Elephas maximus indicus: one gene and its partners. The protein of the gene in region 4 interacts with the protein of the main gene of each other region in a pairwise test. Links are inferred from orthologs where the notes say so. Each region holds a gene or a part of one and is shown on either strand. Other genes may lie near its edges.

What was found.
Region 1: the proteins of ATXN1 (region 4) and SLC51A interact in binary tests that used the Homo sapiens proteins (3 or more experiments, as listed by UniProt). The link is inferred for Elephas maximus indicus from reciprocal best matches to the Homo sapiens genes ATXN1 and SLC51A.
Region 2: the proteins of ATXN1 (region 4) and AHDC1 interact in binary tests that used the Homo sapiens proteins (3 or more experiments, as listed by UniProt). The link is inferred for Elephas maximus indicus from reciprocal best matches to the Homo sapiens genes ATXN1 and AHDC1.
Region 3: the proteins of ATXN1 (region 4) and ZSCAN1 interact in binary tests that used the Homo sapiens proteins (3 or more experiments, as listed by UniProt). The link is inferred for Elephas maximus indicus from reciprocal best matches to the Homo sapiens genes ATXN1 and ZSCAN1.

Annotation. Positions count from the first base shown.
Region 1 is NC_064819.1:17,788,105-17,795,189, reverse strand, and holds the start of SLC51A (organic solute transporter subunit alpha), read right to left. Parts: upstream 3,005-7,085; 5' UTR 2,833-3,004; coding exon 2,795-2,832; intron 2,131-2,794; coding exon 2,036-2,130; intron 1-2,035. UniProt on the Homo sapiens protein: Essential component of the Ost-alpha/Ost-beta complex, a heterodimer that acts as the intestinal basolateral transporter responsible for bile acid export from enterocytes into portal blood. Efficiently transports the major species of bile acids (taurocholate).
Region 2 is NC_064821.1:67,894,565-67,901,623, forward strand, and holds the start of AHDC1 (transcription factor Gibbin), read right to left. Parts: upstream 2,997-7,059; 5' UTR 2,974-2,996; intron 2,541-2,973; 5' UTR 2,467-2,540; coding exon 1-2,466. Other genes in the region: uncharacterized protein LOC126071285, read right to left, coding at 2,997-3,011, 3,165-3,276. UniProt on the Homo sapiens protein: Transcription factor required for the proper patterning of the epidermis, which plays a key role in early epithelial morphogenesis. Directly binds promoter and enhancer regions and acts by maintaining local enhancer-promoter chromatin architecture.
Region 3 is NC_064829.1:87,803,518-87,811,128, forward strand, and holds the start of ZSCAN1 (zinc finger and SCAN domain-containing protein 1), read right to left. Parts: upstream 3,001-7,611; coding exon 2,595-3,000; intron 1-2,594. UniProt on the Homo sapiens protein: May be involved in transcriptional regulation.
Region 4 is NC_064819.1:62,016,209-62,023,493, forward strand, and holds the start of ATXN1 (ataxin-1), read right to left. Parts: upstream 3,022-7,285; 5' UTR 2,827-3,021; intron 1-2,826. UniProt on the Homo sapiens protein: Chromatin-binding factor that repress Notch signaling in the absence of Notch intracellular domain by acting as a CBF1 corepressor. Binds to the HEY promoter and might assist, along with NCOR2, RBPJ-mediated repression. Binds RNA in vitro.

The DNA of each region.
Region 1 (7,085 bases), about 44 Mb from region 4:
TTATGTAAATCTCTGGATTAATCCATTAAAAAAAAAAAAACCCTGTAGAAATTTTGATCACAATCACATCACCAGAATAGCTCTTTCCTAAATACCATTTATCTTACGGAACAGCAGTTTAGAAATGAAGAGGGGAAGGGCTTTCACCACCTCCTCCGACAGACTCCCCTTCTCCTGTTTCTGTCCATGTCCTCACCATTAACCAAATCCTCAGAGTCCTCATGAGCATCTATTTTTCGTTCACTGAGCATGTCTAGATGTTTACCACATCCCACCTGCTTTTTCTTTGGATGCCTCTGTTTTCTACCCCTTCCTTCCCTTTCCCTGTCACTGCCCTGGCTCAGACACTAGTCCCTTGTCCTGGACTGGGGCAATTACCTTTAATTTATACCCTTGCTTCTCAAGGCTCATCTTCCCTGCAGTCTATCCTGATTACTGATTAATGGTCCTGAAGGACTACTTCCATCCAGCCCCTCCCAGCTTCACAGCCCTCACTGGCTTCTTGAGTCTGGGGATAAAGCACAACTTCTCTGCCTGACCCCACCTTACCTGCCCAGCCCACTCAATTGTGCCCTGCTCTCCCCCAACCCAGAAACCTTGAATCTGGCCAGATCTAGCCCTCACTGTCTGGGGGAACCCTCCCACTCGGTCTATCTCCAGCCCCACCCCAGGAGTGCCCACCCTCCCCTCCCTACCCTCCAGGCCCTACCCACTCTAATAGCTCCACCTGCAGCAAGGTCCGCCGACTCCAAGACCCATAACGGTCTCCCCACTTTGAACACTTCGTGTTTTTATTTGCACATTTTGCAGCAAAGCAACACGAGTGCAACTTTCACTGCGTAAGGCCAGGTTTTTCAACCTCAGAAATACTGATACCTTGGCCGGAAAATACTTTGTTGTGGGGGGCTGCCCTGTGCTTTGTAGGATGTTTAGCAGCATCCCTGGCCTCTACCCACTAGATGCTACTACCCCTTCCCAGTTGTAGCAACCAGACATTGCCAAATGCCCCTGGGGGACAAAATCACCCCTCAAGGAGGACCACTGGTATAAGTAAAGACGTGTACCACCAGCTGCACTCTCTGAACAGGAGGTTTCTGGGGCCAGGTGTAGCAGCTGCCTACTGTTCCTAACCCACAAAGACCGCAGGGCATCTGTGGACACTCTCTGGCAGTCAGCAATCCCTCTGGACCGGAGTATCTGGAATGAGCCTGAACATAACCCAAGGACAGGGCCCACATCTGCCTCCTAATGCACACTGACCAGGACTATTGCTCAGAGAGCATCTATTCCGTGAGGTAACAACATCAGGAAGGAATCTGGGAAGCGCATGAAGGATGTCACAGAGACACAAACTCCTACCCGTCACATCTCAGTGGTACTGAACCTCGCAGTTAGAAAACAAAAGACGTGAACCCAATCTGCTACAAAGATGCTAGGACCATTGGACTGTCAATGTTCTAGGTGCCCACAGAATAAATCCAGTCTGATCTTAGTCTTCTCACTGGAGAAAACAACTTAAACCAAAAGCAATTCAGTAATAGGATCTGGTTGGCCAACACCGTAAGAACATTTTTAGAGCTTCATCTAAGTTTTAAGAACATTATTCATAAAACATCGCCATGCTAGAATGATATAGGCCTTTTCCCAAGATGGCTGTTGTGGAGTGCCCTGTGGGGCCTGGATCATTTAGGTACCATCTTGAGAGGTGGGTTTACTCTGTGGAGGGCCCTGGAGTCTGTTAAATGCTTCAGGCTGCAGTCTCCCTAATTCGAATAGGCTTCTAAGCTGGGGCTTGTGAAGACCCAACATGTGGGTTCATCTCCTGGGCTAGGTTGTCCTGGCCCCCTTTTGGCTACTGACTCCTTGAGGAGTTGCTCTTGCCCAAAGCCTTAGCCATGAAGGACACTGGGTCAGCATCCTCCTGGGTTCTCCAGGCTGGCCAACCTCAGGACTGGGCTCCCTGGAGCTGTTCTTACTTCTGTCTGGAACTCACGGCTCCTCCTTTCAGTTCCTTTGTGGAGTGCCCCTGACTCACCTCTCAGGAGCTGGGTTGCAGTTGGGGGGAGAGAGAAGCAGGCAGGGGAGATGCTGTAATTGGTTTTCAGTACCTCCAGAAGGTCTGCCGTGTACCTGGGGAGATAGCGGAATTGTGTTCAGAATTGTGAAGCCTGGGGAGTAGAGAGTGGATTGGCAGAAGGCACATGAGTTACTGACACTCAAACATTCCTGGCTTCAGAGGACTTGTCCATTCCCCCTCAGGGTCCTGTTAGAGACAGGCTGGGGCTCAGGCCAGTGGTTAGGAAGGCTACCACTTAGGCCAGGGGCAGGTCTGGCTGAGGTGGCCAAATAGCCCACAGTCAATTCTCTCCACTCCCATGGGGCAGCAGCCCAGGGGCTGGCTGGGGAGAAAGAGCAGGGTCCCAGAGCCAGGCTTCCCTGGCAGTGGGCCCTTAGCACCCGGGATTGCTCCCTAGCTGGTCTATGGCCCTGTGCTTGGCTTGGGAGCCATGGACCGGCTCCCCCTGGGAAAGCCCTCCAAACACTCCACCTCTGGGATCTTTCTCTCCACAGTTTGAAGAGCAAAGGTGAGGCCCTGAGTGAGATGTCACACTGGCCCAACCCCACCGTGTACCTGAAGGCCTAGGGGACAGCCAGCCAGACCATCTTCCATTGGTCTCATTCTGGATGCTGGGAGCCAAAGGCTCTGGGAGGGAGGTGGGGACAGGCCAGAGCATGGGTGCCCCTGTCCCTTAGCAACTGGCTCCTGGCCCGGGGCCCCAGCGCCCTCACTCACCTGGGGTCAAGCTTTATGTGTGTTCTTTCTGGATCCATGTTCTCCCTCTCTGGGCAGGCTCAGAGGAGCCAGGGGGCGGGCAGGGTGGCGGTGCCGGCTGAGTGAGCAGCTCCCGCCTTTCCCGGGGGACTGCTGCAGGCAGGTGGACTGGCCAGTCTTCCCCTCTGGCTCTTTCCCTCCTCGGGTCTCTAGCACTGACAAGTTTCTGTCTCAGAGTTCACACCAAAGGAATTTGATCCTCTCAGCTGGCTGAGCTCCCGGGTTCCTGACTCCTCCCCGCCCCTAGGCGCGGCCCCTCCTGCCGCCAGGCCTGGGACAAATGCCTTTGGCTACCCCTTGCCCCGCCCGCCCCATCCCATATACCCGCTTCTAGGGTGGTTGCACCCAAGACAAAACTCTTCCGGTGCTGGGTTAGGGTGAGGACGAAGTCCTCGTTCCTCCCCCTGTTGTGCCCAGGTCAGCAACCCCAGAGAACCTGGCTGGGGCACCGCCCTTGGCCCCTGGAGATGAGAGACTCAGGGCCAGTCCTGGGCTGTGTCTGGTGTTGGCTTGGTGTAGAAGAGAGGACTGGCTGGAAAGGCCAGGGGAGGCCCAGAGGGGTTCCCCAAAGGCCAGACCCTCACATCTTGTGGATGGGCTTATCTAGCCAAGCAGCTGGGCCTGAAGAGTCGCAAAGGAGAGACTGTATTTAGGAGGCAGAGTTGCAGGGTGTGAGTTCTGAGCATTTTGACAGATTTTGCCAGATTATAACTATTTCATTGGTTGGTAGTTTTGCTCCTCTCTCCAAGTGGATGTAAACCTCTTTGAGTCCGAACACATGCACTACAGACCCCTAGGTTCCTAGCACATACTAAGGGTACCTTAGCATTTGGTTGCATGATTGATAAAATAATAAAATTGCAGCAACAGTAGCAGCTCATGTCTACTGAGCACTGATGGTGTGCCAGGTACTGTAGGAAATACAGTATATTTATCTCATTTAAACTTTATAACCCCTCATATAAGGTAAACATGTTGCTGTAAAGTCGACTGCAACTCATAGTGACCCTATAGGACAGAGTGGAACTGCCCCATATGGTTTCCAAGGAGCACCTGGTGGATTTGAACTGCCGAACTTTTGGTTAGTAGCCATAGCTCTTAACCAATACGCCATCAGGGCTTCCTATATAATAAGGCAAGTACTATCTTTATTCCCATTTTACAGATGAGGAAACTCTGGCTTAGTGAGGCTAAGAAACCAGGTTAGGTAGCCAGGAAGGGCATGGAGAGAGGCAGAAGGGACTGTGTTAGGGGCTCTGTTGCAGTTCAGGTGAAGATTTTAGAGAGTGAAAAATGAACTCATGAGATGGTCGAGAGGGTCCATTCTGGGAAGGCAGTGGAGGCTTCCTGCCCTGGGCTGGTGAGTAGATACAAGCAGAGGAAGTGGTTACCGATGTCGTACCAGAAAGCTTCCCTAATCTTGTCCCAAAACACCGCAAAATACCTGCCAAGGGTCAAGTCGTTGCCTCTCCCAGTTTTACCTTCCTCTTTAAGTACAAATTTTCAGGACGGGACAATGCAATGAACCAGGAGCCTTAGAAGCCCAATTGCCAGCCCAAATGCAAGAGGAGTCAGCAGGTGGGTGGGGAGGGCAGGGTTGCTAAGGCGGAGCTAAGGGCACAAAAAGGAAAGCAAGGGCACTGACCCCTCAGAGGCCAATTACCTCAGCTCAACCTTGACAAAGACACAGACTGACTCAGCTTCCTCAAACCATTTCCACAGGAGCATTCCCTGGGTCATTCGTCTCTAGCCCAGTCTAAGGCCTGGAGCTTAATTGCCCAAAGTCCTGAACCTTAGACTCCCCAGAACCGGTAACAGGGTGCTGAGGATGTTCTCAGAGCTTCTTCAGGACAGAAGCGAGGGGCGGGAGGAAGGAGAGGAGGCTTGAAGAGCAGGAGGGAGTTAGGAGGGGAAGGCAGCTGGGCCAAGACTCAGGGTTTCTGCAGCTGGGCAGCAGAGGCTGGGAGGCCACAGAAGAGAGTGGACAATCCTCAGGGTGGATAGACTGAGGGGGGAAGAACCAGCAGGGTGAGGGTGAGAACGGAGGCTTGAGCACTGCTGGGCATTTCTACCTCACCCAAAGCCACTACATGACTATATTCTATATAGTGTGATACTGCATTGCCCGTGGGTTAACCAAAAACCCAAACCTATTGTCATCGAGTCAATTCTGACTCATTGCAACCCTACAGGACAGAGTAGAACTGCCCCATAGGGTTTCCAAGCAGCGGCTGGTGGATTCAAACTGCTGACCTTTTGGTTAGCAGCCGAGCTCTTTAACCACTGTGCCACCAGAGCTCTGCCCATCAATCCCCTGACTCAAGCCAGCCTATCCATAGCTAAGACTTGGCAAGAGAAGGTGAGCTAGACCAGCCAATCAGATTATTCTCCTGGCAATTTTGGAACTAGGAGACCAAGAAACTGCTAGCTGAAATGCACTGAAGTTTAGAACCAAGAAGAATGAATCAAGTGTTATTCTTTTTTTTTTTTTTGGCCTAATTTTCCCCATAAGATTATATGATAAAATGATGCAACATCTGTCACTTCAGTTTGGGCTTTCTCCATGTAAGGGTCATTTTGAAAATCAAAAAACCCCCCAAAACAGGGGTTTCATCAATTCTCCCCAGGGATCCTCAATTATTTGATACCCGGAGGCCATTCTCTCTTCTTTTAAAAGGTTCTTATTGAGATAAAATTCACAACACAAAATTCAGCAGTTTAATTATTTGAAAGTATACAATTCAGTGGTTTTTAGTATATTCAAAATGTTGTACAACCATCGCCACTACCTAATTCCAGAATATTTTATGACCCAAAAAGAAACCTCATACCTCCTAATTTCCCCAGACCCCCATGCCCTGGGAACCACTAATCTACCTTCTGTCTCTGTAGATTTGCTGGTTCTGGACATTTCAGATAAATGAATCCATATAATATGTGGCCTTTTAGGTCTGGCTGCTTTCAGTTAGCATAATGTTTTCAAGGTTCAGCCATGTTATAGGATGTATCAGTACTTCATTCCTTTTCATGGTTGAATAATATTCCACTGTATGTATATACCACTTCTGTTTATCTGTTCATCAGTTGGTGAACATTTGGGTTGTTTCCACTTTTTGCCTAGTATGAGTCATGCTGCTAGGAACATTTGTGTACAAGTTTTTGTGCAAACGTGTTTTCAGTTCTCTTGGGTTTATACCGTATTTTGTGCAAATAACGCATGTTATATGCTCTTTGCCAACCATGCAACCCCCTTTCACATTATTTTCCCTAGGCACACTATGCATGTTATATGTATGTGGGTGTGTTATTTACATGGGTGCATTACTGCAAAAAAATACGGTACCTGAGTGGAATTGCTGGGTCATATGGTGACTCTATGTTGAGCATTTTGAGGAACTGCCACACTGTTTTCCACAGCTGCTGCTCCATTTTACATCCTCATCAACAATGGATGAGAGTTCCAGTTTCTCCACATCCTTGCCAACACTTGTTATCGCCGCCAACTTTTTTTTATTATTATAGCCATTCTAAAACCCCAAAACCAAATCCATTGCTGTCAAGTCGATTCTGACTCATAGTGACCCCATGTACAACAGGACAAACACTGTCCGGTCCTGTGCCATCATCACAATCGTTGTTATGCTTGAGCCCATCGTTGCAGCTACCGTGGCAATCCATTTCTTTGAGGGTCTTCCTGCTTTTTGCTGACCCTTTACTTCACCAAGCATGAGGTCCTTCTCTAGGGACTGATCCCTCCTGACAACACGTCCAAAGTGTGTGAGACAAGGTCTCGTCATCCTGGCTTCTAAGCAGCATTCTGGCTGTACTTCTTCTAAGGCAGACTAAGCACTGTGCTCTTTCAGTATCTATATGGGATCAAATTGACAACGGCAACTTGAAAGATTAGATAGGAACTCAGGGGGCAGCAAGTTTATGTTAGTGGGGGAGGAACAACTTGGAAAAGGCGAGTGAGAATGGTTGCACAACTCGAACAATGTAATCAGTGCTATTGAATTGTACACGTAGAAACTGTTGAATTGGTGTATGTTTTGCTGTGTATGTTCTCAACAACAACACCAAATTAATAAAATTATGTATTGGGATCTTTGATGTGGAAAGCCCAAGGGAAGTCATTGTTTTGTTTCTCATGGTATCTTTCACAAAATCAATACTGCTGTGCCTAAACACACTTCTTTAACTGTTAAGGAATCTTAAGAGAACTAGAGACCAAACCATCAACAACTGCTTTAAA
Region 2 (7,059 bases), on a different chromosome or scaffold from region 4:
ATTCTGGCCCGAGGGTGCACCTGTGCTGTAGTAGCTGCTCCGGCCTGATGCCCCACTCTCCAGCCCAGTGGAGGCAAAGGCTCGGGCCTCAGTCCCCTGGAACCCGCAGTTTCGGCCAGCCTGCCCACCTGGGTGCCCATGGTGAGGAGCCCAGCCACCACCCTTGTCCCCGGCCCACTCAGCGCCCACCTCCCCAAAGCCTGGGCCACTGGGCACCTGTTCTGGGAACAGAGTCCCGTTCTTCCGGGACCGTCTCTTGCGCTTGGGTTTCCCAGTTGTGGCATCCACCTCCCCTCGGCCCCGTTTGCGGGGGTGTCCTAACTCAGTGAGGCCGGGGCCCCCGACCCCAGCAGGTGCCACTGCCACCACTTTCTTTTTCTTGCCGATGCCCTCAAAGAAGTCACTGAAGGAGCATCGGGCTCCCTTGGCTGCATGGCCCCCACCTCGGCCACCAAAACCGCCGGCTTTGCCACCCCGCCGCCGGAAACCCTGCACACGATGCAGGAAGTGTGAGATGCTCTGGGTGTCTGGTGCCTGGTGCACTGACTCAGGCTCACTGGGCGTCCAGCAGCGAGGCGGTGAGCAGCGCCCAGCACACTGGCTCTGGCGGTTCAGGAAGGCCAGCTTCGCGAGGACATCAGAGTACTCGGCCTTGCTATCGTTGGCATCTGCTGCATAGGACGGCTGGGGAGACGCCAGCTTCTGCTTCCGCCGCCGCCGTTTCTTCACCTCTGGCATGGCCATGGTGGCCGCTGTCACGGTGGCCGCCTCAGCTGCCACTACTACTGGCTCCTTGGGCTTGCCGGGACCCAGCAGCAGGTTCTTGGGTGGGCGGCCGCGCTTACGCTTGAGGATAATGGGCATCTCACCAGGTGGGAAGACTACCACCACATTCCGCCCATTGTTCTTCATCTTCAGCAGTGGGGTGGGCTCTGCAGACACACGCAGGCCCAGCTCCTTGCCTTCCACACTCAGACTGCTGCTCAAGGAGGACACCTTGTACGTGGTCTTGTTCCGCCGACCCAATGATACAGGGATTTTAGCCATCTTCACCACCATTCGCCGCACACCCCGGCACTTGTTTTTGCGAGGAGGGACCACCGGGGGATGGGAAGATTCCTGCTCCAGCTCTGGGACCAGGCCTGGCCCTGGCAGGGAAGGAGGTGGTGGTGGAGGGGGTTCGGCCAGGGCGGCTACCAGCCCTGTGGGCATAGGCAGGGGCAGCAGGCGGCCCTCAGGTCCAGCGTCTGCCTTGCGCCCCCGTCCGGCCTTCCGCCGGCGACACAGGATCTTTGGCCTATCAGTGCGCCGCAAGGCATACTTGGGGTGACCCTCAGGCCCAGGAGGGCCGTGGGGTGAGCACAAGTCCAGGCGCAAGGGCTCGGCCAGTGGGCAGGGTCCCAAGGTCTGCTGGGGCTCCAGACGGCGGCCTGAGACGTCAAGCAACTTGGGCAGGGGGTCAAGCGCCTGGGGATCGAGCAGTTGTGACTCTAGGGAGTCAGGCAGGCTATCCAGAGCCTGCAGAGCCAGGCCCGGCAGCCCCAGAGGATCAGCAAGAGGTTGCAGGGGTGGCAGCTCCAAAGCTTCCCCAAGCGGCTCTAGGGCCTGTGGGTCCAGGAAGTGGGGCTGGGGGTCCAGGAGCTGAGGCTCTGGCTCAGGTGATGGTGGCTCAAGGGCCTGGGCCTCTAGCAGCTGGGCCTCAGGGCAAGTAAGGGAGGCCAGCTCACTAAGGATGTCAGCATCAGCGAGCTCTGAGTAATCAGGCCCGTCTGGCTCAGGCTCTGGGGGCAGACCAGTGGCCACCGCCGTGGCTCCAGGGCTATGGCCTTGGCCAGGCTGGGGGCTGTCCCTAGGCTCTGGCTCAGGCTCATAGAGGGGGTGGCTGGGTCGCTCAGACTTGGGGTGGGGGGCGGCCCGCTCCTCGGGGCTGCGGATGCTGTTGGCCAGGCTGGGTGAGGAGAAGAAGCTGTACTGTAGGTCGCCGGGTGGCGGGGCGGGTGGGCGGCTGAGCCGGAGACCACCACAGTCCAAGTGCACGCCACTGTGCTGCAGGTCCTGGGAGAGCCGAGTCAGGTCCTTCATGATGTCAATCAGCTGTACCACTGGACGTAGGTTCACCCGCCCGTTGTCCCAACGGTGTCGGGAGTGGGAGCTGCTGCTGTCTCCGGCAGGCGTGGGGCAACGGGCCTGTGAGATGGGACGGGCCGCACGCGGGGGCAGTGGGTCGTCCCCCTTGGGAAGGACTGGTGGGCGCCGGGTGCTGGGGTCCCGGCGTGGGGGTGGGCGTGGATTCTCGGAGAAGGTATGGGCGAAGGCCTTGTCAGGTGGGCTGGCAGGGGGCCGGGTGGGAAGCAAGGGCCGGGGGGTGGGGGGGCCGCCGGGGTAGTACTTGGGCTCCCGGAGGTAGTCAGGAGAGCTGCACACGGCACTGGAAGTCACCACCAGGCCCTGGGGCTTCACACGCATCCTGACCTTGTCCTCCGCGGGCCGCCGGGCGGGGCCGGGGCTGACATGAGGGTGCGAGAAGCCGGGACCAGGACCTGCTGGGCAGGATGGGCAGGAGGTCCCTCACTGAACACCCAAGTCCATCAGCTTCCCATATCCTCATTGAGCCCCTGCCCCCCCAACAAGGTTTTATTCCCTTTACCAAGCTCCAGTCCCCTCCTTAAGCCCAACCCCCTTGTTGAGCCCTTGCCTTTCCCAAACCACCACCTGCTCAATGAACCCCTCACCAGTCCCAGTTCCACTTATTCACAGTTCTCCCTCTTCTAGACCTCGAGCATCTCTGGGCTCAGGGAGAACAGGAACCCCGTGTTGAGAAGGAAACTCCTCAGCAGGGCAGGGTGACCACTCCAGATCAAACTCTGAGAGGGCTCTGCCTCTGCCAGAGGGCCAGGAAGCCCTATTAAGGGACATGGCCTCCCTCTTCCTTGTCTCCATCTCCAGGACTCCAGGAGCACCCAAGCTACTCACCCTCGGCTCTGCCGCCTGGGCTGTCACACTGGAGATCTCTGTGGGCAACAAGACAGGCAACAGAAGTCTGAATACCTCAAATGGTCTGGTGGCCATAGGGCTACCCCACCCACGTGCCCAGTTGCCCGGCCTCCTTCAGGTACCACCCCCAGCTTCCTCTGTGCTCCCCCTAGTATGCACACCTGGCTGACCTGGAAGAGAGGGGGCCTCCAGGCCTGGGGGCTCTGCCAGTCGTTGGCTGTCAGCTGGGGGTGCTGTGGAGCAGCTTTGGCCTGAGCCCAGGCCTCGGGGAGTGGACAGCACCTGGAAAGGACCATGACAGCTCAGGTTTAGTGTGTACCTACTGTGTGCCACACATTGGGGTGGAAGCTGTCCAGGCATCATTTAATTAATTCTTCATACCAATCCTGTGAGGTAGGGGCTATTAATAACCTCATTTTGCAGATGAGGAAATGGAGGCTCAGAGATGAAATAATATCATTTATTCACACACTCACTATTTATGGAGGGTCTACTTTGCAGAAGATCTAGGTAGACAGACTTTTATCAGATAATCATAAATGATTTAATTATTGATGGGATAAGAGCTGCAAAGAAAAGGTGAAGAGGGCCCGAGGTCAGCGATCTAATAATCACACCAGGGATCAACAATACAAGCTCATACTTTGGGGGCACTAGCATGTTATATAGATTATCTCATCTAATCCCACCTGTAAACCTGAGATCAATATGATTATCACCCCTATTTTTACAGATGAGGAAAACATCTACTGCAAGTTGGTAAGTACCAAGAGGGCAAGGATTTCTTTCTCATTCGCTGCTGTATCTCCAAACACCCAGAACAGTACACAGCTCACAGGGGTGCTTCAAAAATAGTTGATGGATGGATGGGTGGATGGATGGATGCAATGGATGGGATGGATGGATGAGATGGATGGATGGATGGGATGGATGGATGGATGAGATGGATGGATGGATGGGATGGATGGATGGATGGACAGAAGACGGTCAGAGCAATTAGACTTGCCTCGTCCTGCGAAGACTTACTTCTTTCCAGACCCAAAAGTGTAACCCAAGAAGGATGCTGAGGGAGGGAGTGAGATAAGAATATGGAAAGGGATACTCTAACCCCTCTTCCACCTTCAACAGAAAGGCTCTAAGCCACCATCCCACCCTCAGCCTTGGTCTGGCCCTTCTCAGAGCCCTCTCTATTTTACCTTCATAGCACTTACCACCACTGTAATCAGTTACTCATGTGACTGGTTGTTTAGTGTGTCTCCCTCTGGGGTGTGGGCTCTTCAGTACCAGGGATCACGTCTGTCTTGCTTCCTGTTGTATCCCTTCGCCCCACTACAGGGCCTGGACTATGGATGCTCCATAAATATCTACCAACTGACTCCCTGAGCTGATCAGGGCAGACCTGGGGTTTAGGCCCAGGCAAGTCTGACTCCCAAGGGAACCTGGGCACTCAGAGCCCTGGCTATTCCCAGGAGTTGGGATCTCGGGGAGTTGGGAGCTGAATGGGCCATGACCACCATGAGGGTATTAAAGGCTGACTCCAACCACTGCCTAGTGCTTGGCCCTGGCCAGACCCCTATGGCCTACCCCTCACAGACACACGTAGACTCTCTCCAGCTGCCATCCTGGCCAGTGTCATTACTCCACAGGAAAGCTTTGGGGCTGACTTGGGGACAGGATGGTGGAAGGGGACACTCCTCCGTTCCCCTTCGGTGGGCAGCAGTTTGCCAACTACAAAGCACCTCCACATATACGACCCACTGAATCTTCACAGCAACCCAGGAGGCATGGGTTATTATCCCCATGTTACAGAGAAAACCGGCTCAGAGCTGTTGTGTAACTTGCCTGAAGTCACATAGCTGCTAGGTAGCAGGATTCCTAATTCTGTCCTAAGTCCAAAGCCTCCTTCCACTCCCAGTTCCTGCAACTCTCCTTCAGTTACTCCTGAAAATGTTCCTTCTAGAGCTGTGGTCTAATTTAAGGCTGGGAGGAACCTTAAAATCATCTAACCCACTGGCTTCCAAACTCTGGGCTGGGGTGGGGGGGTAGTTTGGGGGGAGCTGTGTAACATTCCAGATACCCAGGCCCTAGTCCAGGGGAGTGTGACTCATAGATCTGAATAGACATCTGGGGATCTGTATTTTTAGTTGGCTACCCCGGTGGGGACATTGTTCTAGTGCCATTTTGTGCCCTTCCCATTTTACAGATGAGGAAACTGAGACCAGAAGAAGGAAAGAGACTTTGACCAAGGCCACAGAATGGCATGGGAGGGGCTCTTCTGTTGCTCATCCAGGTGAAGCAGCTTTCTGTCCACTATCCCTTCCCTAGCTTCAGGGTCCAGGTTCGGCTCTTCCTCATCCCACCTACTCATTCATTCAGATTCTGCTCTCTCCCATGCCTGGCTGTGGACTGTGGACTGCCTCCCTCCCCCCAAGGGCCAGGCTCTCAGTGCTCTAAGAACTTCACTCCTGCTCTTGCAGGAAGGACCTCACAAAGAAGGGAAGGGGCTCAGACTGTGGAATCTCCCAGTCTGATTTCTAACAGTATGGGTGACCCATGGCTCTTGAGGCCCTCTTGGAGATGCCCACCAGAGGCTACCATCCCCCTTTATCGAGGGTGGGGCTCATCAAGCCTCCCCCTTCTGAGACATCGCACTTGGGGCCTGAGGGTGTGATCTTGGCAGAAAGGAAAAACTTCCTTTCCAGTGGGTGCTTCTGCTCCACCCACTCGTGAAGACCTTTGGGCATGTCCTCAGGCCAGATCTGGCTGTCTACTGCTCTCTATTTCAGCCTCCAGGATCTGAGGGAGAGCAGTTGGCTCCCCTCCTCACCACAACCCAGCAGCCATACTCTTGGCCCCCTCCCTGATCTGTGAACCAAGTCAAAAGGGCCCTTCTGTCCGTCTCTGTCTGCTTCTGGGTCAGTATGTCTGAACCTGCCCATGGGGACACCAGCTGGCTGGCAGGGGGCTGGGGGCCCCAACCTGCTGTGCACAGTGCCGGGAAGCGCCAGCCCACATCCTTGAGTCCCCAGCCCCACCCTCCCCACTGCGGCTGTGACCACCCCACCCCTTCCCCAGCTGCCTCCCCTCCCCCACCCACAGCCTCCCCAGGGGAGCCTGGCTGCCAGCCCCAGCTCTCACTTCCGGCCTCATGACCCTCTCTCCAGCCTGCACACTCCTCCCCCCACACCATTTCCCTCCCAGCCTGGAGTGAAGTCCCAGGGATGTCCTCAAATGGAAAACACTGCATCAAAGGGGCTCTTACTGCTGCTGTTAGACCTTCCCCATCACTTCCCCTCCTTAGATCTGTGCCCCTCTAGGACTTGCTCACCACCCTTCCCAGTCTCTTCTCCTGCAACCCTTCACCCACTCAACCTGAGTCCAGCCTAGTGTCATAATTTTTAAAAATGGTGAAAATAATAATGGCAGCTGCCACTTATTTAGTATTTAAACAGAGACACAGAGAGGTTAAGTTATGAACTTAAGGACAAACAGCCATGACATGGAAGAGGTGGAGTCTGAATTTAGGTTTGTTGGGCTCCTTTAAACCAAACCGCCTTGTTGCCCAGAGTCAACCGTCTCCTCTGCAGCCTACTCCAACTGTCCTAGTCCCACTAGTTTTAATTTTTGACTTCTAATTTATCCCCCTCCCAGGTTCTAGCCAGCCCCTCCTACTGCGGCCATCAGATGCGCTACCCTCCCTTGCCACTAGGTGTCCCCTTGGAGCCATCGATGCCCCCAAGGGGAGCTAGCCCCGCCCCACCCCCTGGAGCTATCAGTGCCCCCCCCCCCCAGCACAGCACACCCCACCCTACCCTACCCCTGTCCACACAGAGCTCCTTTGTGCAGCCCTCGCCCACCCCCTTCCTCCCCAGAGCAGGGCACCTGGCAAGCAGGTCTGCCCCAGCCCCACCCCCTGCCAGCCCCCTGCCCTGGGTGCCAGGTGTGCGGGCGCCGCCAGCTCTGGCTGGACCCGAGGGTCACCCTGCCGGGCGGCCCTCCCTTCCTCCCTCCGAGGTCACCCAGGGACTGCTTCCCGTCCTGCTCCGCCCCCATCCCCTCCTGGCC
Region 3 (7,611 bases), on a different chromosome or scaffold from region 4:
AGTTAAATTTTATCGGATACCAGGAAGAATGAAGCCGAGATGACTTTTGGCGAACCTGACTAAATCAGGTGGACATGTGCAGCAGGCCGGAATGACTGGTACTAAGTAACCTCACCCTGAGGGCTCTTTGTCCTATTGAAGGGCTAATTGTTAGTGACTGTTTTGGACTGGTAAAATGATTGGGAGGAGGAAGTTAGCCTCCACCAAGTGCCCAGAGGCACCCTACTCCTCCAGCAAGCCTCCGGAGCCTGAAGGCACTCATCTTTCTCACTCAGTCAGCTGGGAAGCCCACCACACCATCTCCTGCCAGTCTCCTGGTTCTGCTGCTGTTGTTTCTCTGCCACTGCTTCTTGCCAAGGCTGACTGGCAGAGTGGGGTGTCTTGGAGTATTTATCAGCAGAGCTAAAAGTGCTTTTTAACACTTGCCTGTGCAGGGCAGAGGCCGAGGGGCCACAGAGAGGCGTGCTTGCAAGCACAGGTGAGAAGAGGTTGTCCTGATGGAAGATCTGTATCCTGAGCATTCCTGAACCTGAACTGTTACCTGTTCCTTCCCTAATAAGCCCCGTAAATGTGAGTATGGTCTGAGATCTGTGTGGCCACTGCAACAAATTATCGAACTCAGCAGAGAAATAGACAATGCCCTGGGAGGGATGCTGAGTGTCAGAATTGGGAAAGACGATGGGGAGAGGAAGCATGTCTGACCTCTACAGAGTAGGAATCAGCCTTGGGCTGTTGATCTTGATTCTCCGTCCCCCTTGTAAAAATGGAGGAGGTCAGGTGATGCCCCTGTTATGCCATTTTTGTACATAATTAACATAATATATTAATATGTTATATTATTATTATAGCCATAAGATGAATGAAGTATTGATGCATGCTGCTACATAGATGAACCTTGAAAACGTTGCTGCTGTTGTTAGTTGCCATCGAGTCTATTCCAACTCACAAAATGTGGCCTTTTGAGTCTGGCTTCTTTCATTGAACATAATGTTTTCAAAGGAATCCTTGGGTGGTGTAAGCAGTTAAGCACTCAACTACTAGCCTAAAGTATGGTGGTTTTGACACAGCCAGAGGCACCTCAGAAGACAGGCCTGGCAATCCGCTTCTGAAAGGTCATAGTTTTGAAAACCCTAAGCAGCAGTTCTACTCATGCATGCCACATTTCGTGGATTCCATTGACGTGAAATGCCCAGGTTTGGTAAATCCGTAGAGACAGACAGTAGATTAGTGGTTGTCAGGGGCTGGGCGAAGGGAGGAATGGGGAGTGTCTGCTAATGGGTATGAAGTTGGGGTTTCTTTTGGGGATGGTGAAAATGTTCTGGAATTAGGCTGTGGTGTGGTTATGGTTGCATAACTGTGGATATACTAAAAACTACTGACTTGAATTTTATAGCATGTGAATTATATTTCAATAAGACTATTATTAAAAAAAAAAAAGCAAACAGAAATAATCTGATGTAGTGATGTCACCAAAAATAGCACAATAGGGAACTCCAACGTTCCGATGCCTCTACTAAAGCAATGACAAAATGGTCAGAAGTAACTTCTTCTAATGAAAAACTTACACAGTCAGAGAAGTGTTTAATGAATAAAGAAGCTACTAAATTTTGGTGAATTCTCAATGGAATCCAGAATTTCTGGAGCCATTGAGGCTGCATGAACCCTTAAAATATTGCCCTGAAATAATATTTAAACTTTAAACCTCAAACCAAAACTTTTCTTGGAAGTCCACTTTGAACCAAACAACTAAACCAAACCAAACTCATCGCTGTCAAGTTGATTCTGACTCACAGCCACCCCTTGGGTGCAGAGTAGAATGGTGCTCCACAGGGTCTTCAAGGCTGTGACCTTTCTGAGGCACCTCTGAGTGGGTTCGAGCTGCCAACCTTTCAGCTAATAGTTGATTATGATTATAATTAACATAATATGTTATGCTATATTATTATATTATTATTATAGCCATAAAAAAGAATGAAGTATTGATGTTACCACGCAGATGAACTACCAGGGACCCCCATTTGGCCTAACTTAATATTGTTAATATGGTGGTTAGGATTGAATTGTGTCCCCCCAAAATGTGTTATATACCCTAACCCCTATACTTATGGTTATAATCCCATTTGGGAATGGGTTTTCTTTGTTATGTTAATGAGACGGTACTAGTGTAGGGTACGTTTTAAGTCAATCTCTTTTGAGATATAAAAAGAGTAGATTAAGCTCAACCAAGCAAGGAGAGATGGGGGAAGATAGATGCCATGCCACATGAAGATTACGAAGGAGCTGAGGAACGCTGGGCCTACAGATACTGAGAAGAGACAAGGAACTTCCCTCTGAGCCGACAGAGAGAAAAAACCTTCCCCTAGAGCCGGCATCCTGAATTCAGACTTCTAGCCTCCTAAACTGTAAGAAAACAAATTTCTGTTTGTTAAAGCCACCCACTTTTGGTATTTCTGTTATAGCAGCACTAGAGAACTAAGACAGATGGCAATACTACCCAAGGGCCACCTGCAGGAAAGACGCGGGGCTCTCATCTGGTATGAACCCAAACCCCAGCTCCTACTTCCTCCTGGAGCCACTTGCCTTTGGGGGTCAGCCAGTCCCTGGGGACCACCGAGCCTGTGGCTTCTTACATTCCTGCTGGAACATCTGCATGAGGTCTTCCACCAGGCTGGTGGCCTCCCTGCAGGTTTGGGGGCCCTGTGACTGCACCCAGGACCTCATCTTGCAGGTCAGCGAGCTCAGGAACTGCTCCAGCACCAGCAGTTCCAGGATCTGCTCCTTGGAGCAAGTATCGGGCCACAGCCACAGGTGGCAGAGTGTCCAGAGCTGCCTCAGTGCCTGCTGCAGCCCAGTCACCGTGCAATACTTGAACTGCCGGAAGCATAAGCGCCAGGCTTCTGCATCCCCGGGGCTGGCAGGCCGCACTGCCCCATCCTTCTCACTTGGTGCTGGGGTCTGGGTGCTCCTGCAAGAGGCAAAGCCTCTCGCCAGTGGAAGCATCTCTCTGACCACAGGGCATGTGGCCTCGATGGCTCTGAACAAGCACAGGCAGCAGTCAGGAGCCTGCAGAGAGGTGCCAGTGCAGAGAGACCACATCACAAGGTGGGTAACCTTGCTCTAGAACCTCTCAGTACCCTACGTTTTTGCCCCCCCCGCCAAGGCCCCCAGGGACTGAGCCAGGCCCTGTCCGCATCACTCCCATCTAACCTGGCCATGGACAAGCCAGTGGCCACCGCATGGCCTTTGCACTTGCTTTTCATTCCAGCTCAGATGTCACCACTGCAGGAAGAGCTTCCTCTACGTGGCCGCTTGATTGTCATCCTTGTCCCTCCACCCTCATAGTGCGCCCATCTCTTCTGAACACATTTTATTTCATTACTCGTTTAGTATCTCCTCCTCCTCAGTTCATCATTGAACAAACATTTATGAGGAGCTGGGGACAATATGGAGCCCTGGTGGCACAGCAGTGAAATGTTTGTTGGCTAAGCAAAAGGATGGCAGTTTGAATCCACCAGCTGCTCCTTGGAAACCCTAGGGAGAAGTTCTACTCCGTCCTGTAGGGTTGCTATGAGTTGGAATTGACTCGACAGCAACGAGTTTGGCTTTTTTAAAGGGGGGACAATATGGACATTGTTCTCAAAGAATTGCGATTGTGGTTTTTAACCTGATATTACCCAAGGGCTATGCCGTGACATGTGGAGTAGCAACGCTTACCCATGGAACTTTCTGTATAGGTAACAATGTGCTCCATCTGCACTGCCCCATCCGAGCACTTGAATGAGGAGCTGGATTTTCAATTTTACTTAATTTGAAAATAGCCACTCGTGCCATGTAAGGGGCAATGCAATAGAGGCCTCCTGCCCCCTGCCCCTGGGGTATTATTGCTGCTGTCTTCCTTGCCTCATGTGCCAAGTTGGGGCTGATGATGGGAGCAGCAAGGAGGGCAAGGAGGGGCTGGAGGAAAGAGACTTTAAAAGCAGAGGGAAAGCTAGAAGGGCAAGGAAAAATAACCTTTTGTATATTTTCCAAGCTTCCTATGGTGAATATATCACAACCGAACGAAATACGACAAGTTATAAACATAAAATGAGCAGGGATTTTACTACATGCTTATATCCTGTGCTGACAGGGTGGGGTCATTCACTGGTGAGAATATAAGCTGGCACAGAAGCACTGGGTATTGTTAGGTGCCGTCGAGCTGGTTGTTGACTCATAGTGACCCCATGTGACAGAGCAGAACTGCCCTGTAGGGTTTTTCCTGCAGAGCCAATGTATGGGTTCAAACCGCCAGCCTTTTGGTTTGTAGCTGAGTGCTTAACCGTTGCACCACTAGGGCTCCTTAGAAGCACTGGAGCAGCTTGTATACAAAAAACCTTCTGGACGCTGAGAAATTTAGCCAAAATGCAGACAAAGATTTAGGCACCAAAATTTACTATGAAAGGTCCTAATTTACTACGAAAGTACCTAACAGTCAAACCTGGTGGGGTCAATTACTTCCTATTATGTCATGGAGTATTATCCAACTGTTCAAAATAGTGTTAATCCCATTAACACACTCAAGGCAGTGGTGAGGTGCAGGGGAGGAAGCAGGGTGCGGGACAATATATGAGAGTTCTGCAAAGGGGTGCCAGAAAAGAAGCCCCAGGGTTGCAAGCCAAGTGCCTGGTGCTCTTCATACTTCTGTCAATCTCCCCCAAATTGTATAATGACCCCGTGTAACCTTTATCAACAGAAAAAAAAAAAAAAAACCAGAAAATTTTTAGGAAGGACTTTTAACAATATGGGAAAATGCTTATAACAGGTGAAGAGTGGAGGATTCCACGTGAGTTTTCCTTCCTGATGCTTTGGCTCATGTTTTCTACAGTTACCAGGTATGGGTTTTATAATCCGAAAGAAAGGAGAGTTGTTTCAGGCAGAAAGGCCGACTCATGAGGGGGGTGTGTTCTGTAGCCTGTGAGTCTGCTTTCCCCCACCTGCACATTGGGGATTACAAGCAAAAATACTCTCTTGTGCTTTACACTTTCATTTATATGTATTTTTGGAAAAAGAAAAAAAAGCATGTTTTGTAGTTTCATAGGTTGGAGCAGTCCCCTCTGCTCTGGGGTCCCAGAGCTTACATTCCCTGTCTGGTGCTCAGGGAAATGTTCTCTGGAGCTGTAGCCCCTCAGCACTTCTTTGGGAGGCCTGGGACAGCTCCTAGGGTCCATGTGGTAGCTGAAGTCCTTTTGGGAGGTCCTGGGCTGATATAGCAGTTCTACTCTGTCCTATAGGGTCACTATGAGTCAGAATCGACTCCATGAAACAGGTTTGGTTTTGGTTTGATGGTGCAGTGGCTAAAGTGCTTGGCTGCTAACCAAAAGGTTGGCAGTACAAACTCACCAGCCACTCCAACTGTAAAGATTTACAGCTTTAGAAACCTTATGGAAGAGTTCTACTCTGTTCATAGGGTCACTATGAGTTGGAATCGACTCCATTACAGTGTTTTTTTTCTTTTTTTCCTAGGCTGATACGGGGAGTTCTGGGCCCATGTGGAGGTTCTGGGCCAATGTGAGGGGTCCTAGGCTGATATAAGTGGTGCTGGGCTGATGTGGGGAATCCTAGGTTGATGTGGGGGTCCCAGGCCAATGTGTTTGGTCCTGGACCGATGTGGAGTGGGTCTGAGGTCTATATAGAATAGGTTCTGGGGCACACGTAGTATTTGTTGCGGTGGTCCAGGGATACAGGAGATCCACTTTGGGGGGTACCTGGGTTTGGAACCTTGGTGGGTAGTGGTTAAGTGCTATGGCTGCTAACCAAATGGTCAGCCGTTGGAATCCACCAGGCATTCCTTGGAAACTTTATGGGGTAGCTCTACTTTGTCCTATAGGGTTGTTATAAGTCAGAATCGACTCAACAGTAATTAGTTTGGTTTGGTTTTTTGGTTGAATGTCATGTAAAGGGCTCAAAGCTAGGTGGAAGGGCTGGTCTACCTGGAGTAGGCACTAGGGTCTGTGGCAGAGACCTCAAGTTCTATGAAGGAAAGGGGGACCCGTGAGGGCTTGGTAACTGACAGCCAAACCACCTAATAGATGATCAAGAGATAGTCGTTGAATAAATAAATGAGTGTGGGGGAAGAACGGGGGAGTGGAGGTTTGTGGGAGAAAAGGATTGAGCAGGGTTTGCTCACTAAGGAAGCGACAGATAAATGAGTTGGGGAGGTGGGAGATGGGCGAGTGGGCCCAGGGGCTGCAGAGCGGGTGGGAGAAGGGCTGCTGGGGCCGGTTGGAGAGGGATCTGAACGGACAGACCAGCGGGGGCTTTCTACCTCAAGCCGGTGGGGGGTTGCCAAATGGCCCTCGGCCCACTCCCAACATCGACCTCAGCACTCCCTGTACTTTAAGACTCCCCGCATCCGTCAGGGTCCCATGTCAGGAACTCCTCTCTCCCCTCAGGGTCCCGCGAAGGACCTCGGGATGCCGACCCGGGCGCCGCCAGCCTCGGGCAGCGACCACGGCCCAGGGCCTTATTCATCTCCACACGCGTTCTCTACCGTGAGCCCCAGACCGCCCTTGCCGACGTGACGCCCGTCATCCGCCCCTGGGTTCCTCCCTGGGACTGCCAGGCCAACAGGCGCACTGACTGCCAGAAGTACTGACTGCGGACAGACTAAAGCGCACGCAGGGTCTGCTTGGGCCCTCAGTCACGGCGCCACCTTGGCATGTGCAATCACCCGGTAGCTGCCTGATGGACTGCGACTCCCGGAACCCCGCGCTCCATGGGCTGTTGCCTTCGGCCTGTTGGGGAGCGCTGGCCCACCGCCCCACCCAGGAGCCCCGGGATACCCTAGTGGGGGTGGGATCATGACAAACACAGCTGCCCCAACCAATAAAAGCTGCCTGAATTAGGTCGTCTCGCTCCAGAGATTTCTTAGCATTACCCTGGAATTGGGATTTGGTCACCATGGCAACTGTCCACGCTTTTCTGGGAGCGCAGCAAGAATTGGGTGGAGGATGGGACTTCCTGTGCTGCACAGTCCCAATGACAGCTTTAGCTCCCTCTGCTTTACTTCTTTGGTTATACTGAATACTAAGTTAAGTACTAATAGTATATTTTAGTATAAGAATGTTCCAACAGCATATTTGGGACATGTTGCTGTTGGTAGGTGCGGTGGAGTGGGTTCAGATTCATAGTGACCCTGTGTACAACAGAATGAAACGCTGCCTGGCTCTGCACCATCCTTTCAATCACTGTTATGTTTGAGCCCATAGGTTTGAATTTCTCTCCAGTGTATACCTAAAAGTGGAATTTATGGACCATATGGTAATTCTGGAAACCCTGGTGGCTTAGCAGTTAAGAGCTACAGCTGCTACCAAAAGGTCAACAGTTCAAATCCACCTGGCGCTCCTTGGAAACCATATGGGGCAGTTCTACTCTGTCTTGTTCTACTCTTGTCTCTGCTATGAGTTGGAATCGACTCGACAGCAACAGGTTTGGTTTTTGGTTTTATGGTAATTCTGGAGCCTGGTGATACAGTGCTTAAGAGCTTAGGTGCTAAATGTAAGGTCACCAGTTGGAACCCATCAACCACTCTATAGGAGAGAGATGTGGCACTCTGCTTCTGTAAAGGTTATA
Region 4 (7,285 bases):
AGTAGGACTGTCAGGCTCCTTTCATTGTCTGGGGTGATACATTTACATACTGCACCCGGTAAGAACAGATTCTTGGTCTCTCTTACAAAAGTTGAGTAACTAGAAACCTAATTTAGTGTCTCCCGTCCAAATTACTGAAAGAAGATGCAGTTGAACTAGTGAAGTCTCTTGTCTGGCTTGGGCAGCACAAACACTGTGCATAAAACACTTGGAGTAGTCCAGGCACAAGACAAACCCACCTGAATGGACGAGGAACACTGTCTGTTGCCATGGCAGCCTGATCTAATTACATGACTGATCAGGGCTGGCCTAAGTGCAGGAAAACCTACACCACTGACATGTATCTACATGATGAGAAAGACAGGCAGTCAGGAGGTTCAGGGGAGCCCTTCGACCTCTGCTTTAAGTGGAAGAGACTGGCATCCAAGGCCCTTCACTTCCGGAGCTGCTGAAACACTGACCGACGCATGCACACTTCCAGGGCAATCAGCGATGAAGCGGCACAGCATTCGCCGTCCTGGCGCAATCCCTTTCCGAGAGTTCATATGCAGGATTTCTCCTCCTTCTCTCTGGTAGTTTTCTCGGGTATAAACTTCATTCCCAAGAAGCACAAGTACCAAACTACCTTTACCCATCAAATAAACCAGAGGGTGGGATTAGCAGGGGCTTCTAGGAACTGCAGGTCTCCTCGGAAACCCAAATAGAAAAGGCTTAGCTCACCTTTGTGAAAAAAGTTAACTAGCATGACTAAAAATAACCATCAAGTAACTACCCACTGCTGTGTGCAACATGTTAACGATGATGTTTCAATATTAAGAACAGCCTGCATTACAAAACATGAATGTCATTGAGATGTGACTACTAGATTGCCGAAGGAGAACCTATTTGCATACACACATTCCCCTGCATGCACGACCGGATTTGCAAGGAATTGCCACTCTAAGGCATTAGTTTTTATTCTGTGGGTGTAATAGGGTCTTCTAATTTTGCTAATTGTATCCTGTGGATCTCACAAGGAAGCTAAGAATCTCTTCGGGGACAGAACCAGTTTGGAGGAGTCCCTACTGCACAGCATACGGTAAACAAAATAAAAATAGCTTGCCGTTCTTGTTAGCCACCTCGCGCATTATATAACCAGCTTCCGACTGGCTTTTTCCCCCCTTGCCATTACTACTCTTCAGCAATTCTCCAATCTTCCAAAGTATTTATATTACCCTCTTATCTGTAGGATTATATACCAAGAAAGCAAAACAAAACAGAGCAGCCACGGGTATGCACGAACCCCACCGTCCTTAGAAATTGTGATTTTTTTTTGTTTTCTGGCACAATCTCGATCACTACCCTACGCCCACCCCCCACTGAGGTTCTTGCTTAATCTCCCTAAAAAACCTGAATTGTTTCAACGCTTCCAGTCAGCCCCCTACGTGGTCTGAAATAAAATGAAAGCACAAGCCACGGAGTTTAGGAAGGCGGCCTGGGGGTGGGAGGGGGAGGGGGGCTGAGGAGGGGTCTGGGCGCTGTAGAGTCAGCCAAGTGGCCACCGAGGGCCCCCACCCCATGGCGACGTCCCTCCTTCCCCTCGGCGAGCGCGCGCATACACACACGCACACACTCACAACCCGCTCCGACACCGCCTCACCTCTCTCTCCGCCCGGCCGGCCCCTTCCCTGCCCTCTGCGGGACCCGCCTGCGCGCAGCACTGGAACCACGTAGGAGGCGGCGGCCGCCGCGGGAATGGCAGAGTCTCTGGCCCGGCCCGGCCTAGAGTGAACGAGCAGCGGGGCTCCGGGGCGCATCCCAAACGCCGCAGCACCTCCTCCTCCGCCTCCTCCTCCCCCTTCTCCTCCTCCCGGCTTCATTCACCCGCCCGGCAGCCGTGCAGCCGTTCACTCCCCGCGTAGGGCAGCGCCTGCCGGGGCTCCTCCGCTCCTGCCGCGGGCGCTGGCGGGGGCGCCGGCGGGCCCCAGGGTGCTCACGGGCTCCCGGCTCCAGGCAGCAGCGGCGGCTGCACATGATCAGGAAGCAGTGGCACTAACAGGGCGGCGGCAGCCAGGGCCGCCACCGCCAGCCGCACTCCCGGCACCCGCACAACCGCTCCCCGCCCGGTCCCTGCGGCCACCTCTCCGCGCCCCCCGTGCGCCCCCTCCCTGCGCCCGGACGTGCGCAAAGTCCTGATCCGGCTGCCAGCGCGGCCGCAGCCGAAAAACCGGCAAGGCCGGCCTCCGCCAGGAGACCCCAGCCCCGGAGAGCGGAGGCCAGACGGCCACCCGCGGGGAAGCCCAGTCCTCCCCGAGACCCACTCGCTCTCGCAGCCCCTTGCGGGGACGACGAGTGGGGAGGGGGCCGCGCGACCCCCCAGCGGCTACTGTCTCCCCCTGCGCCACCCCGAGGGAGGACATGGCTCTCTGCACTCGCGGCGGGACCAGCAGCCGCCGGTGCGGGGCGCCACCGCTGTCCCTACCCGCGCCCCCCGCCCGGGCGCGCCCCCTCGCCCGGCGGGCGCTCACCCTTCCCACCCGGGCCCGGCTGCCCTACTGCTGGCTCTTCACTGCGCCGAGAGTGGGGGTGTCGGCCCCCGGGAGGCTGGAGCCGGGAAAGGTTGTATGTACACGCACAACACAACACGACGCGTCGGTTTCCTTTGCTCCTCTTCCAGCTGTTCGCCGTGCCGCCGTTTGGGGTTTGGGGTTTGTTTGCTGGTTGTTGCTTTTGCCCACCTCGGGAGAGCGGGGCGGGAGGGGGGAGGATTTTAATCTAAATCAGGGGAGGAGATGGGGGAGGGGGGAGAGAAAGAATCAGAGGAGGAAAAAAAAAATAGCCACTTACTGTAAAGTGTAAAAGAATCTGGGGTTGCGTGGGGAAGGGGGGGCAGAGGGAGAGAAACAATGTCTTGAGGCTGCTGGTGCTCGGGCTGCTGCTCCACGGGGCTTGTTTTGGATCCCCCTGCAGTGAAACAGGTCCTGTACGGCTCCGCCACTGTAGTAGAAATGATGTCTGCGGTATACTCTGTTCTCTCCTCCTCCTCCTCCCGCTCCCCTCCCCTCCCTCCTCCCTCCTCTCGCCCGCCCGCCCTCCCTCCTCGCTCGCTCGCTCGCTCCAGTATGTAAATGTGTAATAGAAGCCAAATATGGAGCAGTTGGCTGCCGCCGCCGCAGCTCAAGGATCCTACTTCACGGGGGGAGGGGGGCGGGCACCCTTTGGCAGGCGGCCCGGAGAGCCGCACGGATCCCGGCGCGCGGACGGCGCGGCGACCCGCCCGCTCCCTTAACCCTTCGGTGCGCGCCCGCCCGGGGACCGCCGACCCCGGGTAGGCGGGCTCGCTTCCGCCGCGGGACCGGCCGCCACTTCCCATCCCGAAAGTGCGGCTGGCGCGGGAGGGCGACGCGCGGGCCGGAGGAGACGGTTCCTTCCAGGTTTGAGAAAGGGGCGAAGAGCTGAGGCGATGAGGTCATTTTAGCGGTGACCGGTCGGGCCTCGCGCGACTCCCCAGGTCCCAGCACCTAATTGGAGGGGAGAGAGCGACAGCGGGGTGCAACTCAGGCACCGTGGGGTACCCTCCGAGGGGTGTCAGGCTTCGGCTCGGCGATAACGAGATACCCAAGGGGGAGGGGAGGTTGGCCAGTTCTAATCCCGACGTGCCCTTCGTCCCGGGCACTAAGAGAAGGAAGCATCTAGGAGCGCGGACTGTGATAATCCTCCAGCTGGTTTAGCTTCGGCGTTCCGGAACCCAGACGCTGGGGCCGCGGGGACTGCCTTTGCCTGCAACTCGGGAAAGTTTGCAGGGTCTCCCCGAATGCACATGCACCCTCACCTTCACTGGCTGGGAAAGCTGGTGACCTCCCTGCGCTTCTTTCTCTTTCTGCGGGTCCGGAAATCTGCTTCGGATATTCAACTCCTCAGCTCTAGTCTTGATAGACGACCCGCACACTCCGCTCGCAGCTAATTCGGGATCATTAATTTAATCGGAAATGAGGTAACCAGTGTTGGAGATAGAGAAAGCAAACCGAGCATCAAATGGCAGCTCCCTTGAATCCACGCTGTAGTACTTCCTCTGGACTCAATTTTGAAGTGCGGTTCTCAGCTTCCCACTACCCGGTCCCCTCCGCATGTACCCCCTTCCAGGTGTTAGCTCGATGGGAAGGACTCTTCTTTGGAGCGGTGCACCTTGCCAACAGGTGTGGCACCTGGAGGAAGAGAAGGCACATCCTGCTCGAGAAGCTCAGTGCTGCGTTCTCCTCGCTGCATAGAATTCTGGAAGACCAGTAGGTGTCGAGCCAGCATTTGACCTCCTTCAGGTGCTTAGAACGAGTGTCTAGACACACGATGCCTCCACGTCAGTTTCTCTATGGAAGCCACCACTGTCGTGGCTGTATTTGATACAGTAAGCCGTATTGGAGAGGCCTTTTGGCTGGGTTTACTTATGACCTAACGGTTAGTCACCAACTGAAGCAGGATACAGAATTACCAGGAGAAATGTGTCAGCTTTTAAATAACAGTATTGTAGAGCCTATGTGCTTCAGAAATAAAAATAAGTATACTAAATAGGAAGGTGTCGAGCCCCGGAAATAATTTTTTTTCTCACATTTTGAAACTCTAAAAACATCTACATGGCTATTTAAATAGAGCTACTACTACTGTTCACTTTTACTCATTTCTACAACTTTCTTTTCCTTTTTTTTTTTTTTTTTTTCATTTAAAAATCAATGATGGCTACGGTTTAAACCTCGGGTTGGCTTAAAGTGACATAGTCGGTCTCATTACAGCCTCTAGTGGACAGTTAAAATCAGTTTCCTGCAAAAGCTCTCCTTGGTTTTGTTTTCACTGACAAGCTTCCTCAAGGTGAAGGCTAATATCACAGAACATAACCAGGTAATATCTTTTCCCATACTTGGCAAAGCCGACTTCTGAACCAAGCAGGGGCTTGCTGGCCTTGCACCAAGAAGACGTATGCCTTGTGCTGCAGGTATTATTATTATTGCTGGCCTGTGAATAAACAGAGAGCTTCTGTGATTCATTTCAGTTTCAGACAGCTTTCATAAAAACTAAATTCATCTAAAATATTTTTATAACAGAAAATATTGGTTGCCATGTTTTTGGCTTAACTGAGATGTTTTTATTCCAAGTCATACTCTGCAGACTGTCCAATCCACCTCCACTCTGTTTTTAGACATCTTACATTTAGAGAATTTGCAGTTAAAAAAAAAAAAAGCTAATATTTTCATTATTACATTGACATAAGCAGTTAGTTTCTGTTACGTTAACAGCTTTAAACAAATTAAAACATATAATTCAGATCAGAGCTAGTCAATGAATTTAAATGTTCCCCCAAGGAAGCTAAATATGTATATTACCCAAGCAGTAAAAACAATAAGAAATGTGTCATTTACTTTCTTAGCCATTAAGAGTAAAGCCATAAACTGTGACTAAAATCTGTAACTATTTCTTTAATGTCCAAAGTATACTCATCATACAGTTTTATTACCTTTCCTACTGAAATGTTTTCAGATGGTAAAAATATTAAAATATGTACCATTGCAAATCACAAAAGACAAAACAAAACCTGTTGCCGTGGAGTGGATTCTGACTCCTAGTGACTCTACAGGACAGGGTAGAACTGCCCCACGGGGTTTCCAAGGAACGCCTGGTGAATTCGAACTGCCAACTTTTTGGTTAGCAGCTGTAGCTCTTAACCACTAGGCCATCAGAGTTTCTGTCACATATAATAGGCTTATGCAAATAAAACCTCTTAGGAGCTGAATGAAAGAAGAGCAGGGTTTTCAAGAAGCCAGTAGGCAAATAGATAGTACTAGAGTTCACTATGGAAGTCCTGGTGGTCTAGTGGTTAACAGCTATGGCTGCAAATCAAAAGGTCAGCAGTTTGAACCCATCAGCTGCTCCTTGGTAAATCCTACAGGGCAGCTCTACCCCACCCTACAGGATTGCTATGAGTAGGAGTCAACTCAAAGGCAACGGTTTCATTTTTTTTTTTAAAATAAGCCTAGTCATAAACGTGAGATTATCTTGGTAGGAGCTAAGTCAACCTTTGAAATGAAAAGAAACAGAAATAAGGCCTGCTGAGCCTAACTGTGGAGCCCTGGTGGCACAGTGGTTAAGAGATCCGCTGCCAACCCAAAGGTTGGCAGTTCAAATCCACCAACCACTCCTTGGAAACCCTATGGGACAATTCTATTTTGTCTTATAGGGTCGCTATGAGTCGAGATCGACTCCAAGGCAACGGTTTGAGCCTAACTGCCTAAACTGTGTTCCAGAATGCGTAAATACCATGAACAAATAAATTCCTCAGATCTATTTCACTGCTTTGATAACATCACTTTTGACAGTTTAAAAAGGGCTATCAGGTGTATATTATATATATGGCCATCATTAATATCCTTGCTTCTTAAAATGTGGTCCCAGGAGCAGCAACAGCAGCATCTGGGAGCTTTATAGACATTCAGAATGGAGGGTTCCACCCAGACCTACTGAATCAAAAATCTGCATTTTAATAAGATCCCTGGGGAGGGTTCCTAAGCACTTTATACTGTGAGGAACACTGGTCTGTACTACAGGGCTAAGACAGGATGAATTTGGCTAAAGGTGCAGATCTTAATTCTTCTATATATTCCTTTTGTATTCCCTCCCCCTTTTATTAATTCGTGCATTTTACTTTAAAAATTATTACATGGTATGCTTTGGACAAAACATTTCAGAAGAGCCCTGATTTATGCACAAATCCGTATCATCATTGCCGAAACAGAGCACTCTGTTAAGGAATGTACTGAGGTCTCCAACGTGAACGTTTTCTTTGTGGCAGCAAGAGGGAGCACAAGAGTGGTTAACAGAACAAGTGTACGTCCTCCCAGTCACGGCAGTTTTTAATTGTAGTGTATGTTTTTATTGGGAGTAGCTTGCTATGTAGTTAAAAACAAAGCAAAACATGCAAACAAAAACGGCTTACCAGATTATAACAATATCATAATTGAACAGATTGGTGGGGTCTCTTCAGGTTTAACGGGATATAGACATTCTTATTTAGAGTTTTAGGCTTCAATTTTTAAAAGAAAGTGGATTTCAAAAGTCGTGCTGGTAATAGGGAACCCAAGATTGAGAAGGGAGAGTGTTGACACTCGTAGAGTTGTTAATGTCATAAAACAATATGTGTACTGTTTAATACGAAGCTAGTTTGTTCTGTAAACCTTCATCTAAAGTACAATCAAAAAATAAATTAAAAGAAAAAAAGTCATACTCTCAAAGCCACTTCTTAGGGTTTCCCTGGTCAAAAATA